Danio rerio: one gene and its partner. The protein of the gene in region 2 interacts with the protein of the main gene of each other region in a biochemical or structural test. Links are inferred from orthologs where the notes say so. Each region holds a gene or a part of one and is shown on either strand. Other genes may lie near its edges.

Region 1 (8,231 bases), on a different chromosome or scaffold from region 2:
ATTCGTATACTATGTTTATAAAAACTTTAATAAAAACACATTTAAAAAAAGAAATTGTCTTATAGATGCACAGTTAAATAGACTTTTTTGCTAAACACGTTGAATCTCATATACAGTTAAATATATATATACAGTACATGTGTGTGTGTGTGTGTGTGTTTATTATATATTATAATATTATTTATTTATTTATATATTTTTTTCTGTGCTGTTTAACAGAGAGAAGATTTTGGCTATACATTTTTAAACATAATAATTTTAATAACTAATTTCCATTAATTAATTTCTTTCGTCTTTACTAGTTATTTTGCAAGATGCTAGCATTAATAATTTCCTTGCTCTCTTAGACAGCGCTTGGAAAACATCTGAAAAACCGTTTCAGGAGAGCTACTAATTTGTACCGTAGATATTCCCTTCTACCTGAACAGTACTGTTACTCTATCGCCCCCTTGAGGTTTTTGACTAGTATGTACAGTATGCATTGGCCAAGCATCCACATCTGTTTTTGCATACATGTGTAAGTATGTTTCTGTATCAAAATGTTAAACAAAAAGATCTCTAAGGAGAAATATCAGGCCTGATGTTTTGATCTGTGTCCCAGATGCTGAATCCTTGAAATGCCCCTGCAGTATATTCTCATGTAGTCAACATGTTGAAGTGAAAATAGCATTTTGATCACATTAAGGATGTTGACATTAACCTCTACAATCGTTGTTTCATTAAAATAATGTTGGTTACACTTTAAGCTACAATTCTCAAGCTATTAATAAACCAATAACCATGACAATTGCTTCATTAAATTAAAAATATCTGCTTATGGTTATTTAAACAGTTTAGGGTAGGAATATAGAACATTTTGAGAAATGTAAACAAAAACAATGGTCTCAACGTATTTCCTGTTTGCATTTTTCATGTCTATAGAGTCCAAGAATCCAAAAAGAGCCACATGTTGATAAATAATGTTACTGTATGTTCAAACGATAGATCTGCAAAAGAGAAACTACGAGTTTTGGGAAACAAACATCGTTCTTTTCCCAAATTATGCATCCCTGCTGAAAAATCCAGCTTAAACCAGCCTAGGCTGGTTGGCTGGTTTTAGCTGGTCGACCAGGCTGGTGGTCAGGCTGGAAAATGACCGGCCAAATCCAGCTAAAACCAGCTTGACCAGCCTGGTTTAAGCTGGATATAGCTGGTTTTGGCTGGACTCCCAGCTTGGCTTGGCTGGTCAAGCTGGTTTTAGCTGGTCATCTCCAAGCCTGACCAGCTAAGACCAGGCTGGAAATGGCTGGAAACCAGCCTGGAAGTGGCCAAAACCCCTCTAAAACCAGCCTGGTCGACCAGCTAAAACCAGCCAACCAGCCTAGGCTGGTTCTTTTCCCAAATGATGCATCGTACTATGATAGTTTAGCCACGAGTTACATCGATGTTTGGGAAACGCACCCCAGGTTTGGAACAAATTAAACAGACTTTTAATTTTTGGGGTGAACTATCCCTTTAAGAGGTATTTCAATAGGAATAAAAATATATTTATAACGATATACATAATATATATATATGTTATATACATGTATACAGATGCATCCAAACACTACCTACAGCCACACTTTGCAACTTTCATCTCCTCGTAGAGATGTCGGACGGTGATGACGCCTTTTTCCTGGTACATGACGGCGATTGGGTCCAGCTTGGTCGGGACGCAACATGCCATGTTTGCTTTCTTTGGATTGCTGAGGTTAACCAGTGTCTGGATGACTGCATGTCTGGATGGGCTAACGTCATCAGTTAGAGGGAAATAACACACACCTTTGCACTCATAAGCGTCGTATTCCGGCGGCGCAACGATCCATTTGTCCCATCCGATGTCTTTGAAATTGACCTTGAGGGAAGTTCTCCGACAATAATTGTTCTTTGCTTTCCTCTTTCTCCTGCGGTGTCGGTTGCTCACTGGAGCTTGATTTCCCACTTGCTGTTGTTCACGCACAAGCATCTCTTTAACCTTCCTCATCGACTCTTCCTTCCGGTTTCCGAGATCATCAGAAAAAACAATGACGACCGCAGAGCTGTTGTCCTCTAGACTCAGACTTATATCGAAGGAGTCACAGCTATGTTGGACTTCAACCTGAATTTCCCCAGCCCCACGTCTAGATTCATGCCAAATCCTGACGGCTCCGGTCACATCAAAAGCCTCCCACGTGTTTATGGACTCTCTCACGTCTCTGCCATCCAGAAGGTGTAATATTTTAGCATTCTGCTCGTATTCTACATCATAGACGTTTATGGATGTGAAGAGATCGTCGCAGGCGGGTTTATGTCTGTGCCAGAGAGTGAACAGACGTAGCTGGACTGAGGTAATCTCTTCGTGATTTGGGATGGAAACGTTGAATAGCAGCCGGTGTTGGGTTTTGTTGCCTTGTCTGATGGAATAAATAACATCTGTAGAGTAGACAAAAGGGAGCTCAGTGAATTTTACCATTAATTTGATGTGTTAAAGATCTTGTGAAAAGGATAAGAGAGGCCAAAAAAATATTACTCAACCGCCAACTGTTCCGCCATATGTTTTACACAGCCGCAACCCAGTACTGGGAAACACACATGCACTCACACCCTACAGCCAATTTAGTTTATCCAATTGCCCTATAGCGCATGTGTTTGGACTGTGGGGGAAACCGGAGCACCCGGAGGAAACCCACAACAACACGGGGAGAACATTCAAACTCCACACAGTAATGCCAAACTGACCCAGCCGTAATTCGAACCAGTGGCTTTGTTGCTGTGAGGCGACAGTGCTAACCACTGAGCCACCATGCCGCCAATGTTCAATATTACACTTTAAAAAAAAAAGTCCCCTTAAATTCACTGGATTTCTGGTCATTTTGATAGCCAGTAATAGTTTAAAATTTACAAGAAGAAACAAAAAATTAAAATGCGTTTAATAATTATTGTAATTTTTACAATATTTCTATCTGGTTCTCGAATCTGATTGGCTGATAGTCATGCGATATTCCAAAATAACAGCACTCATACAGCCTCTTGTGTATTACTCCGCCCACATAGGGACGGCAGATGAATAAACGCACTAAAGATCGACAACTGACTCTCAGAAAATTGCTGAAGGAGACGAAAATCAGCAGTTCATTTAAAAAAAAAAAAAAGGATTATTATGTGTTGACAAAAGTCAGCTCATTCATGAAAAAAGACACCACTGTTATGACTTTAAATTACGGCAGGAGAATTTCTTTAGTTATAAATAATAAAAAAATATATTTTTAATATAAAAAAAGCACAATTATGCTTTAAAATAAGTTTACAAAACAACTTTTGTGAAAGATATTCGATAATGTATTAAAAAGGGATATTCACTGTTTCCTCACACCAAATTGGTTGTAAACTTTCATGAATTTTTCTTCATTTTCATAAATATATTGAAGAATTCTGCGGGGGGGAAAACTGACTTTCATAGTATTTTTATATGGATGTCAATGGCTGCCTTTTCCCCAACATTCTTCACAGTTTTGTATTCAACAGAAGCTCATATAGTTTTGGAGCACGCAGAGCAGGGATTACCAAACTTGTTCCTGGAGGGCCGGTGTCCTGCAGATTTTAGCTCCAACCCTAATCAAACACACCTGAACAAGATAATCAAGGTCTGAAGCTGCTTTTCCTCCCGTAGACTTCCATTCATACTCGCGCGAATGTGTCAGACCAGCGTGATCTCACGAGAAAACGTAAGTATTTAACGTTTTGGCAGTTTAGTGGCTAATTCGTACGAATTTGTACGATTTCAGTCGTACGAAATGATACGATTTTAAAAAGGAGGCGTGGCACCTAACCCCACCCCTAACCCCAACCGTCATTGGGGGATAAGCAAATCGTACTAAATTGTACGAATTAGATCGTACAAATTCATACGAATTAGCCACTAAATGAAAAAGTTACGAATTGCCGTGAGATTGTGTTGGTCAGACCGGAAACGCAAGGTCATGCGTCAAGTTTCGCAGGTTCCTACGGTGCAAAGTTCAAGCTTGGTGAACTCTGACCTGCGAAATCGCATCACTTGACTGCGTGAGACCAATTGAGGATCAAAACATGACCTCTCTGAACAGATAATCTTGTTTATTCCCGCCCCTTTTCGCAGCGTCGTACCACAGAATTTTATTATCAAACTCTAGTGTGACCGCAGCTTTACTAGGTATACTTAAAACACCCAGGCAGGTGTGTTGAGGCAAGTTGGAGCTAAACCCTGCAGGCCAACGGACCTCCAGAAATGAGATTGGTGACCCCTGACGTAAAGAATAAGCAAATGATAGTAAAATGAACATTTTTGTGTGAGCAATCCAGTTAAAACTCTTGTTATTGTCCACCGCTGCTGGTTCCAGTATATATCACCTAATGAAAAGTTTCCTCTGATGGTACAATCAATCAAAGAAGCTCTTTTAATGTGTGTAATATTGAACAGATCCGCCTCAGAGATTGTGAGCTCTCTTTATGTGTACTCACCCTGAACGACAAAGCTTCGGATGACATCCGACCGAGGGATGGAGTTCTTGTCAGAAGCGTATCTATTATAGAGTTCGATCATGAACTGAGGAGGCTGAACCTTTCTGTGTTCCTGCGGCACGCCTGATAAGTTCAGCTTCCTCAAAAAATCTTCCTTCATAAAGCCTAAGAAACTCTCCACCTTGTTCAAGTCATCGTCTTCAACCAGCTTCTGCTCTTGAATGAACATTGAATCTTCCAAGCTGCCAGCGTCACCTAAAGATTTCTCTTCGGTAATCCTAAAAACAATGGACATCAGAAGGAGCAAATGTCCTACGCGCCACATCTTCTTTTAGTTCCTGCAGCGATAAGTGACTTTGAGCAACAAGTTTTACATCTGACTTTGGTTTGTGGATGATGCTTTGAAATCGGGGTTCCTTAAGTGAACCTCAGGTTTACTCCCATGCCCCACGCTAAGCTCTGGAAACCAAAATAGTAGCATAGCTATTATCTTTGACACCAATGTTGTGGTTTGGACTTGGTTATCTGGAGGAAGCGCGTAGTTAATGAGCGTTCTGTAAACACTACCAGAACGACTAATGAGTGAGATTTTGACAGGCTTATTTACACGGTCAGGCTCTGTTTTTATAAAGGCAACTCCATCACTTTGAATTTGTTTGTGTTTATGTGTAGGATGTCTCAACTTATCAGCCTCGGAAATGATAAATATTAACATTAAAGATTCCAGCGCTCTCTTTAGTTTGCATTTGGTTTCATTTTCAGGTTGTGGAAAGGGTTAATGGGTCTAAAAGTTGACCGTCGCCCTCTTCCCTGTTTCCAATACAATTCATCAAGTCTTTATTCGCAATAAAACATATATATTTTAATAAATGGGCAAATCCAAACTATTAGAATTTTAATAAATATTTATATAATAACCATGGTTCAAGGTGGCTTAGTGGTCAGCACTGTCGCCTTACAGCAAGAAGGTCACTGGTTCGAGTCTCGGCTGGGTCAGTAGTGACTGTGTCTCCCTTATTAGCAAAGTACGTTAGTCTTGTTTCTGAACCTGCCACTACGCTGACACATAGGCATCTGTAGCTCCGCCCTTTTTTAAAAACAGCACAATCTCATTTGAATTTAAAGCGACAGCCATCAAAACGCCAATATTAGTATCAAAGCCTAAAAAGGGTCCGTTTCAAAGAGTTAGAAAACATTATCTGTTTGGTATTTTGAGCTGAAACTTCTTACACACACACTCTAGAGACATCTGAGAGTTATTTTAGATCTTGTAAAAAAGAGGATAATTTCTGGAAGTACACTGAATGCTAAAATTAAAAAAAAAAATTATTTTTTATATATATATATATATATATATATATATATATATATATATATATATATATATATATATATATATATATATATATATATATATATATATAAATTATAAAGTCAGAATTTCCGAGTTCTTTAACACTCTATCTATGGCCAGTCGGCAGTCAGGAAACTCATTTATACTTCGCAATTCTGATTTAATTACTTGCTATTCTGACTTTAACTCACAATTCTGAATTAATAACTTGCAATTCTGACTTAACTCGAAATTCTGACTTAACTCGGAATTCTGACTTAATAACTTGCAATTTTGACTTTATAACTTGGAATTCTGATTTAATAACTCACAATTCTGACTTTATAACTTGCAATTTTGACTTTATAGCACGCAATTTCAACTTAACACGAATTCTGACTTAGTAACTTGTAATTCTGACTTAACTCTGAGTTTTGACTTAACTCGGAATTCTGACTTAACGTGCAATTCTGACTTTATAACTTGCAATTTTGACTTAATTCGGAATTCTGACATTATAACTCGGAAATCTGACTTTATAACTCTGAATTCTGACTTTATAACTTGCACTTCTGACTTTGTAACTCGCAATTTTGACTTTATAACTCGCAATTCTGGCTTAACAACTTGGAATTCTGACCTAAAAACCTCGCAATTCTGACTTTAGAACTCGCAATTCAGACTGTATAACAGAACTCTGACTTTATAACTTGGAATTCTGACTTTAGAACTTGCAATTCCGACTTTGTAACTCGCAATTTTGACTTTTATAATTCGCAATTCTGACTTAAAAACTCGGAATTCTGACCTAAAAATTCACAATTCCGACTTTATAACTCTGAATTCTGACTTTAGAACTTTTTTTTGAAACTTTTTTGTGAACTGTTCCTTTAGTAGAAGTTTATTTTTTTTATAATATCAACTGCATTCCATAAACATATACTAATATTTTATTTTGATTTGCTGGTGTCTTATTTTACATCTTGTCATTATGGGTCCCCTTAAATATAAAATCAAATCACGTTGAACAAAATGTTTAATCACAATTCTTTCAAGTGAACAAACACATCAACCAATGTTCACGAATGAGACATAATGCAGAATATTACCAGATTTATTTACAGAAATGCATTTAAATCTCTTTGTCCTTAAATTCACCATGTATTCGTTGCAAAATGAGTCTTACCTTAAGCAAACTACAGTATGTCACAATAAGGATTATATACAGTTCATTCAAAATGAAAGAGCGGACAGAAAATACAAAGTTTGTGTGCAAAGATCCTGTATTATCTGAGGTGTTGAGGTCTTATTTGCAGACATAAGAGTTTGTTTTTGTCATATGACGGCAGTCCCTGTAGCAGAGTTTACTGTTTTGCAGATTATTTATCCGTATTTCCATTAGTGTTTCTCGTTTATCGACAGGCGCAGGTTTCCACAGACATGCTGGGATAGATCTTCAATAGCATATTCCTGCTGGAGTCCAGGAAGAGTACGGCCAGAGAGCTCATCTTATCCGGGACGCAGCACGGATCCGGGACTCCAGGAACAATCCCAACCGCTCTCACTATACTCTGGATGGTCGCATGATTGGATGGATGGACAACCTGCATTATGAGAAAGAAAGTCAAGGTTGGAGGATAAAGCCGTGAAGTATATAAAAATCAAAACTAAACAGATTGATTGCGTTAGCTTGCATTGCTAGTTTTGTGGTGAACAATTCATCAGCTCATATCATTAAGAAAAAATAGTTTACCCTTGTAAGCTTCAAGTGAAATCTGAAAATGCACTTCCTGTTCGTTTTCAGCTAAATTCCCAGATTAGGTCTGTCTTAGGTAGTGGGCGTGGCAAGCATACTTAACCACGCCCATCCAGCTGTCAGTTTTGACAACAAACAGAAATGGTGAGCAGGAGGAGTCAGTAAGGTTGTATTAACTCTCCCCAAACCACCTCCCCATCTTTCTGAATGGCATGCCTACTTTACTACATCCAATCAGATCGCAGTAGAAAAAAAAAACCACACCCACTCATTTCTCATTTAATATTCTGTTTCTCCGGGAACTGCGTCACAATACAAAAAAAGGTTGCAGCTTCCGGATTATGCAGACTTTAAAGGGATATTTCACCCACTAATGAAAACTCTGCCATCATTTACGCATCATGTTTGAGTTTCTTTCGTCAGTTGAACAGAAAAGAAGATAGTCAGAAGAATGCTCGAAAAAATATCCATCGACTTCCATAGTATGTGATGTCAATGTCTGTTTTTTTTACCCACCATTCTTCAGAATATCTTCTTTTGTGTTTATGCATTCATTCATTTTCCTTCGGCTCAGTCCCTTATTTATCAGAGGTCACCACAGCGGAATGAACCGCCAACTATTACAGCATATACATATATATGTTT
Region 2 (7,805 bases):
CATTTTGAATGGTCAAAATGATTTGATTGAGAACTTCTAGCAAAAAAAGTGCAACAAAAAGTGGCTTGATTAACACAAAAACGAACAAGAAGATGGCTGCATAGCTCTTTACAATATAAAGTCAATAATTGTCTTACTGTGCTTATGATTGGGGTTGAGTTTAAGACATGTATATGGTTCAATCCACTAATGTCTCCAGACCTTTTTACAGAGTTAACAAGGATTTACCCTGTTTTTTAAGTTCAAAAGTCACAGTCATTAGGATCTGAGAAGCGAGATCCTCCTCGACTGCCTAGATAGACAGCCGAAGCTGATTTAGGTCTGCTGGTCCCAGCCTGATTCTGATTCTGCCCGAGGCCTCCTCCGTGACGACTGTTGTTGTTGACTTCGGCATCCAGTGTGTCAGTGGTGATAACCCAGCTGGCAGGACGCCACTTCTTAAGTGCGTAAGGCGTCTTTACCCGCTTCTTGATTTTATCCCCTGACCCCTCTGTCCCATCGCCGACAGACCTGCCTCCTGTGGGCGAACCGAGAAGTTACATGATCATGTTTCTACGGCTAAAACAATGGGCCTCATTCATGAAATATGAGCAGAAAGAAATTATGTGTCAGTTGCTCAGAAACAAAGTGGTTTTACAAACAAAAAGTCATTATGATCATGTTTCAGCTATGACGCTCTGGCAAAAATGCCTTTGGAAAGTGTTACATGCCATCATAGATAGTCTACATAATATTTTAGACTGTTATGATAGCCACACTGCCAGACTGTGTCATTTAAACTCATCTTATGTGTGTGTGTGTGTTGTAGAGAAGGTGCATATCAGTAAAAACATTGCTTCCTGACCATCAGCTGCCATTTTTTCGTGATGTCATCAAGATACACAGTAAAAAATGCTGGCTTCCACACAATTCCTTCATGTTGTCAACTAAGTGAACTTAATTGTTATTACAAGTGTAAGTGGATTAGACATAAAACAATTAATTTGTCCTGAAAAAAAAATAATTGTGTTTCAACTCATTTTAAATAAGTAGTTTGAACGAAGCACAAAAAGTCATTTTTGAGTGTAGAAATTCAAATCACCAGCGATCTAGTCCATACAGATCGCTCAAGAACTACAAATCTGCCACCAAAAGAACTACAAATCCTCATCATCATGTACCACACTTACACCTGTTCTACCTGTAGCATTACGAAGCGTTTCTCCTTGCCTTCCTGTGGTTTGATTTTTTGCTTTGTTGATTTTTGATGTTAGCCGAGTAAGCCTCGAGTCTTCTGTAACATAAGGATGCTGACAACGGAGGTGAGAATCCAGAGACTTTATTCAGACAGATAATGGTCAGGCAGGCAAGGGTCGATTACAGGAGCAAACAGAATTAAAAATGGCAATCCACAAAGAGTGCCCAAAACAAGGCAAGAGATCTGTACAGGTGGCTAAAGTTAAAGATTCATAATGTTACAGGTGGAACAGGTGTGAGTGTGTGGTGCATGACAGGATTTGTAGTACTTTTGGTGGAAGATTTGTAGTTCTCCAGCAATCAGTATGGACAAGATCGCTGGCGATTGTGACACTTTATAACATACTACACTTAACAAATTGTCCTCTATAACATATAAAGATGTGTGTCCACCGAATCGTTTCTGCGCAGCTGAAAACACCTGTACTCTGCCAAAAACTGGCTGTGAGAGCATTTAAAAAATGCTGAAAACCATTAGCCAAAAAGACACAACACATGCTAATACTTCTGGTCTGTTAATAGGTGGCAAAAAAGACCAGACGCCTCAATGCATGTCAATGGGAAGAGGCCTCATTATTCTGAATGAACAGCTTTTGAGAGGAAATATCTTGTCGTTTAATGAATGGACAGCCTGTTCGCTAATCTTCAAAATCTTTTATATTAAGCAAGATGTTCATGGTGAACCATATGTATAGTTTACCCTGATAACATTTCTTTTTAAGAAAAGGCAGTGAAGGGAATGACTCGAAAGCTAGGACTCATTTATTTATGACATTACAATACAATAGTATGTGGTTCTATCTTTGGTTTTAACGTTACCTGAAACTAGACTTTAATAGGAATATTGTAATGACAACTATGTTTAGCATAAACCTGATTTATACTATCTATAATGTATTTGAATGAATAATAGGAATGTTTTAATATTGAGTGAACACTGAATTATATTCTATTTAAATAAATAAGTGTGCTATTTATATGGCTTTCACACTTTAAGCGATTCGAAATGTAATGAATTGTATGACTGCTTCTTAGGGCTGGACGATTTGGCCTAAAATCAAAATCTCGATTAACTAAACATTTTAACTCGGTAAACGATTATCTAAATGTATTTTATTTTTTGGCCTTTATAGTTCCCTGACAAGTTTTGTACAGTAAATAAGCTCAAATATTACAAGCGAGAGATTTCTGAATGAGGGGTGCATTACTTGATTATAAAATAATTAAAGAAAACACACACTATCTACTATCTATGGTTATTTGATTCAACGTCAAACAACTGAAATTAAAACACACATTGCCTACAACAGTCACTCTTTCTTAAAAAAGCAAAAATAATAATAAAAAAATAAATAACTAAAAAAGTATATATATATATATATATATATATATATATATATATATATATATATATATATATATATATATATATATATATATATATATATATATAATATTATTGTTTTTCTTATTAAAAGTAGAAAATAAGCAGTGTCTCTTCTAAATAAAACAACTATGTATATCCTGTGTATAATGTTTTAAACAATGCATATCTTGAATCTTGTGCAAACATATATTTTAATGTAAATAATAATTTTTTTGTACTGGAAAATATGCCATCTCAAGATTTTTTTGGCACGGCATCCAATCATCGCCAATGTAGTGTAAACGTGCAATGTGTAATTACATTTTTTAAAGAGGTGCGCAGGCATACGAACTCACGAAGGCTGCGCCAGACCACACCCGTGCATTCGAAGCAGAAGGATAAATCAGAGCGGGGTCACATGACTCCACGGGCGTTAGGGAAAGTAATTGAAAAAATTTACTTGAAAAAATTTGATCGATTATAGGTTTTGAATGACGATTTAGATTATTTTTTGATTAATCGCCCAGCCCTACTGCTCCTTATGATGATGATATCCGCTTGTTAAGTGGTGACGTGTTGGTGACGTATGTAATACTGTTTCCGGGTCCAAGCTGCCACTCATTCGAGTTGAGGAATTATTTGTTTATGATCACTTTTTATTTATATCACACATTAAAGTTAATTTTATATAAAGTCATAGTGTACACAACAATCTCTGCTTAACAAATTTCAAAATTTAAACAATTTATTAAAAAAAATTAATAACTTTCTGGCCATTGGATATTAGGCATGGCCATATATATTGCGATCGTGATTTTCGAAAGTATTAAATCGCTTTGTAAACGTTTATTATTACCATTTCATGAGTCTCCCCATTCAGTTGAATAGAGCGTTCGGACCCGAAAGCAGCTTCGTGTGACGTCACACTTAACAAGCGGATAATAAGGGTAAAGTATAAATAATTTTTATAAAATATTCTTTGTATGGCTTATTTGTATTTTATTTTAAGCTAGAATTAAAAAATAAATTAATAAAATAAAAAAGTCAATATTTTTAAAAATATTTTTTTTAATTGGCTAGAACAAGCCAGTGTTGTCCAATGGTTTGCCTAATTAAGCTAGCTGGCCCAGTTAACCTAATTAAATAGCAATTTAAACTGAATGCTAGTATCTTGCAAAAGAACTAGTAAACTGGCAAAGATTAAAGTTATAGTTTTTAAACTTTTATTTTGAAAAATGTGTTGAAGAAATCTTCTCTCCATTAAACATTCATTCATTCATTTTATTGTCGGCTGAGTCCCTTTATTAATCTGGGGTCGCCCCACCGGAATGAACCACCAACTTATCCAGCACATGTTTTACGCAGCAAATGCCCTTCCAGCTGCAACCCATCGCTGAGAAACATCCATACACACTTATTCACACTCATCCGCTTCGGAAAATTTGGTCTACCCAATTCACCTGTATATCTTTGGACTGTGGGGGAAACTGGAGCACCCGGAGGAAACCCACGCGAACGCAGGGAGAACATGCAAACTCCACACAGAAACGCCAACTGACCCAGCCGGGACTCGAACCAGCGACCTTCTTGCTGTGAGACGACAACACTACCTACTGCGCCACTGCGTCGCCCATCCATTGAACAGCACTTGGTAAATACAGTGCTCAGCATATATAAGTACACCCCTCACAAATCTCTCTTTTAAATTCATATTTTATTAGGAAGCTAAACAATATTATATTTGTGCATATACATTAGATTAGTCAGCACTGAGAACAAATCTGGAGCTTATTTAAAAAAAATAACTTACGAAAAGGGTCCAAAAACTAGTACACCTAAATTTATATGGTACAGAAAAATATTAAATGAAGTTTAGTTGAAACTTTGAAGGTTGTAATTTTTTTTTTGCAATATTTTGAATTTAATTGAATTATCTTTCTATTTCTAAATATGTTTGCTGACTAAAATATACTTTTAATTAATAAATCTGTTTTGTTTAAATGCACCTAAATACATTGCCCTTATTCACTGAGAAATGGAGCAAAATATGCAGAAGCATTGTATATGAAAAAGATTAAAAATTTCACAGAAAGGTTAATAGTTTTGTCTTCAGCAGTATATAAAATTAAATAGTTAAATGGAGTATAAATAGCATTGTGTATAAAGTATACAATGTTTTTTGCAACATTTATCTTTATAAACGTTATTTAGATTAACGTTTAATCTTGCATTCAATGCCAATTGTCATTTACAAATCCTAAATCAGCTGAATCACTGTTTAATCAGAACCAGAATCAGAACTGTTTTACAAAACCTCTTTGGTCCCACAAATAAAAAAAAAAACAAGTAAATTGCACTTAAAATGGTAAAATTAGCTGAAATGAGAATCTCACCTAGTAATGGCAGTGTTGTGATGGACAGATCCAGAGAGTTGGGTCTCTCTGGTCTGCGCACTCGGTTCTGTCTGAGCAGAGCCTCTCCGTGTGTCTGTGTCTGGCTTTGGGCCTGTGGAGGAATGGCGGTTGAAGCAGAACACGGGCCAGGCAGCACAACCGGCTCCACCGTAGAAGACGACGAAGCATCCCCTGTCGGACCGACACTCTCATTGTTCTCTCCTCCCTCTCCTCCACCCTCTGTCTCTCCATCACCATCTCCCTCACCATTGTTGTTATTGCTGTTGTTGTTGTTTGCATTGTCAGGATGCGCCTCTCTTCTCAGCAGAGGCTCCTGCTCATCGGGACTGGTGTTTAAGAGGCCGAAGGTCAAGTCCTCGTTGGCTGAACTTCCTGCTGACTCGGCTGCTGGTTCTGTTGCATATTTATTCATTGCTGCCGCCGCATCGTTGTTGGCAACTGTAATCAGCCGGGCTTCATGCGTCGCATTCACCACACTGCTTTTAGCCACACCCATCTCAACCTTCTTCAGATTTGACTTTCCAAGCTTTCCGAACTTCATCCGCAGCGATGAAGACGTCGAGGTGGATGTTTTCCCAGGCTTTACGTGGAGACTGAGGCTACTGGGTCTCTTAGGGACGTTCTGCTGCTTAGGTAAGATGGTTATAGGGGTGTCCCCATGCCTACTGGATCCTTGTGACCCCGAAACCTCAGAAACCATCTTCATGAGAGGATAAAACGGGCCGTGGGAGGCTGACGTTTCAGGAGAGCAGAACTGTTTCTGTGAATGTTCCATAAGGCTCTCGTCCGAGCTCTCTCTCATGTTCCTCTGGACTTCGCTCGGGTCGAGTTTTGGTATCTCCAGGTCTTCTCGTGTCAGCTGAGCACAGAGATTGGTGGCCACTGGTGGAGGATGCGTGGCATTGCAGGACTCTGAGACAGGAGTAGCGGAGGAGCTTTCTGTGCCAGACTGTCGTGATTGGGCCTGCTGCCACTCATAGTTGATGCAGTTCTTTTTCTTCTCTGCGGGATTAGTTCCTCCTGCTGAGGTTTGCTCCACTGAGGTGTCATTGTGGAGTGGTTTATCAGCACCTTCATGGTCTTCAGTGTTTGTGGATGAGTGTTCAAGGACAGAACCTACTTTAGGTGTCTGCCTTCCAGCAGAGAAGTTCCTACAAATGTTATATTGCATTGGTTAAATCAAATGAGGTGAAGATGTGTATAGACTTTTAATTAAAACAGATGGATTTCAATATCACGGAACCAAGAATTAAAAAAATTGATCAAAGAAATGGCAGGAAACATGTCAAATGGAAAATATCACATATACTGTCAAAAGAAAACAACAACAAACTATGTAATATCATCATAATAATAATAGTTTCTTACATTTAAATAGCACTTTTCTGGACACTTAGGGTGCTTTCACATCTGTAGTTCGCTTCATTTGGTCCGGACCAAGCGCAATAAATGATACATTGTTGCATTTTCTGCCGTCTTTGGGTCGTTTTTACACCACACTGCTGGCTTTGATCCGAACCAGTTGAAACGAACCAAAATGCAGTCATCTGACAAAATCCACATCTCTCATTGGCCAGATGTTGTTGAACATATTTCCTAAATTGCTTATTGATTGGTCACAATTCACGTGCGGGAAAATGCCAGTGAACTCCCGCAGGTAAACAAAACCTTTTACTCTGGAGGGACGACTGCGCTGGCTGATTGTATCCCTGCTTTAGACAAACTATACATTACGAAAATGAAGCGCGGCCGCGGCTTGAAAACAGTGTTTAATGCGTCGCTCGTCACTTCAGGAGGAGGCGTAAATTAATTTAGCTAAACTGCAACATGGTCATCTTGCGGAAATATTACCAACGATCCATCAGGTAATGTTTTCCCCTCTCTCTCTCTCTCTCTGTTGGTAAAGCGCTGTCAACAAATATTTTTCCTCCATATCCCATAATGCACAGCGCATCGGCCTACGGCAGCTGAATTAGTCCAAAACGTTGTTTGAAAGCGTACCGAGACCACCTCTTCAAGCAGGTCTCGGTACGCTTATTTGGTCCGCTTTTGGTGCGCACTCGAGTACGATTGCTGCATTCTCACCTGCCCAAATGAACTGTACCAAAAGGGGAAACGAACTCTAGTGCGATTCAATCGAACTAAATAAGGCAGGTGTGAAAACACTCTTAAAGCGCTTTACACATTTTTGGCGGGAATCAACCTAGATGTCACGACGCTAGCCATATTACGCCAGACCGCCCACCACACATTAGCTGATTGGTGGAGAGGAGACAGAGTGATGACGCCAAGTGATGAATGCAAGGAGAACATGCCTACTCCACACAGAAACGCCAACTGATCCAGCTGAGGTTCGAACCAGTGACCTTCTTGCTGTGAGGCGAGAGCACTACCTACTGCTGCACTGCGGCACCCAAACTTTCGTACTGCACCTTTAATTAATTACCTGTGACCAGACTATTATTGATCAGTGACTTTTGGTTGTCAATAACATGTGGTTGAACATTTATTATGGGTCATTGATTACTTGTGTTTGCACCATGAGTTGTCAGTGAGTATAGATTGACAATTACCTGTTGTTGTACAGTAAATATTAGTAATAACCTTTGTATTTAGTCAAAGTGGTCATTTATTATTGGTTATAGTTAAGTGTTGTCCAGTAATCAGTTATTACACATTGATTACCTGTAGTTGTGGAGTGATTACTACATACTGATTGCATTTCACTGTACCGTGATTGATCAATAATCAACATTTATTGATTAACTGTGATTGTAAAATGATAACTA

Evidence for each region. The genes of interacting proteins can lie anywhere in the genome.
Region 1: the proteins of bmpr2a (region 2) and gdf2 form a complex in vitro, tested with the Homo sapiens proteins (2 studies listed by BioGRID). The link is inferred for Danio rerio from reciprocal best matches to the Homo sapiens genes BMPR2 and GDF2.

Annotation. Positions count from the first base shown.
Region 1 is NC_133187.1:3,041,184-3,049,414, reverse strand, and holds gdf2 (growth/differentiation factor 2 preproprotein), read right to left. Parts: upstream 4,823-8,231; coding exon 4,498-4,822; intron 2,434-4,497; coding exon 1,589-2,433; downstream 1-1,588. Other genes in the region: gdf10b (growth/differentiation factor 10), read right to left, coding at 7,243-7,434. UniProt on the Homo sapiens protein: Potent circulating inhibitor of angiogenesis. Signals through the type I activin receptor ACVRL1 but not other Alks. Signaling through SMAD1 in endothelial cells requires TGF-beta coreceptor endoglin/ENG.
Region 2 is NC_133181.1:13,757,090-13,764,894, forward strand, and holds part of bmpr2a (bone morphogenetic protein receptor type-2a), read right to left. Parts: intron 6,168-7,805; coding exon 4,996-6,167; intron 518-4,995; coding exon 243-517; 3' UTR 1-242. UniProt on the Homo sapiens protein: On ligand binding, forms a receptor complex consisting of two type II and two type I transmembrane serine/threonine kinases.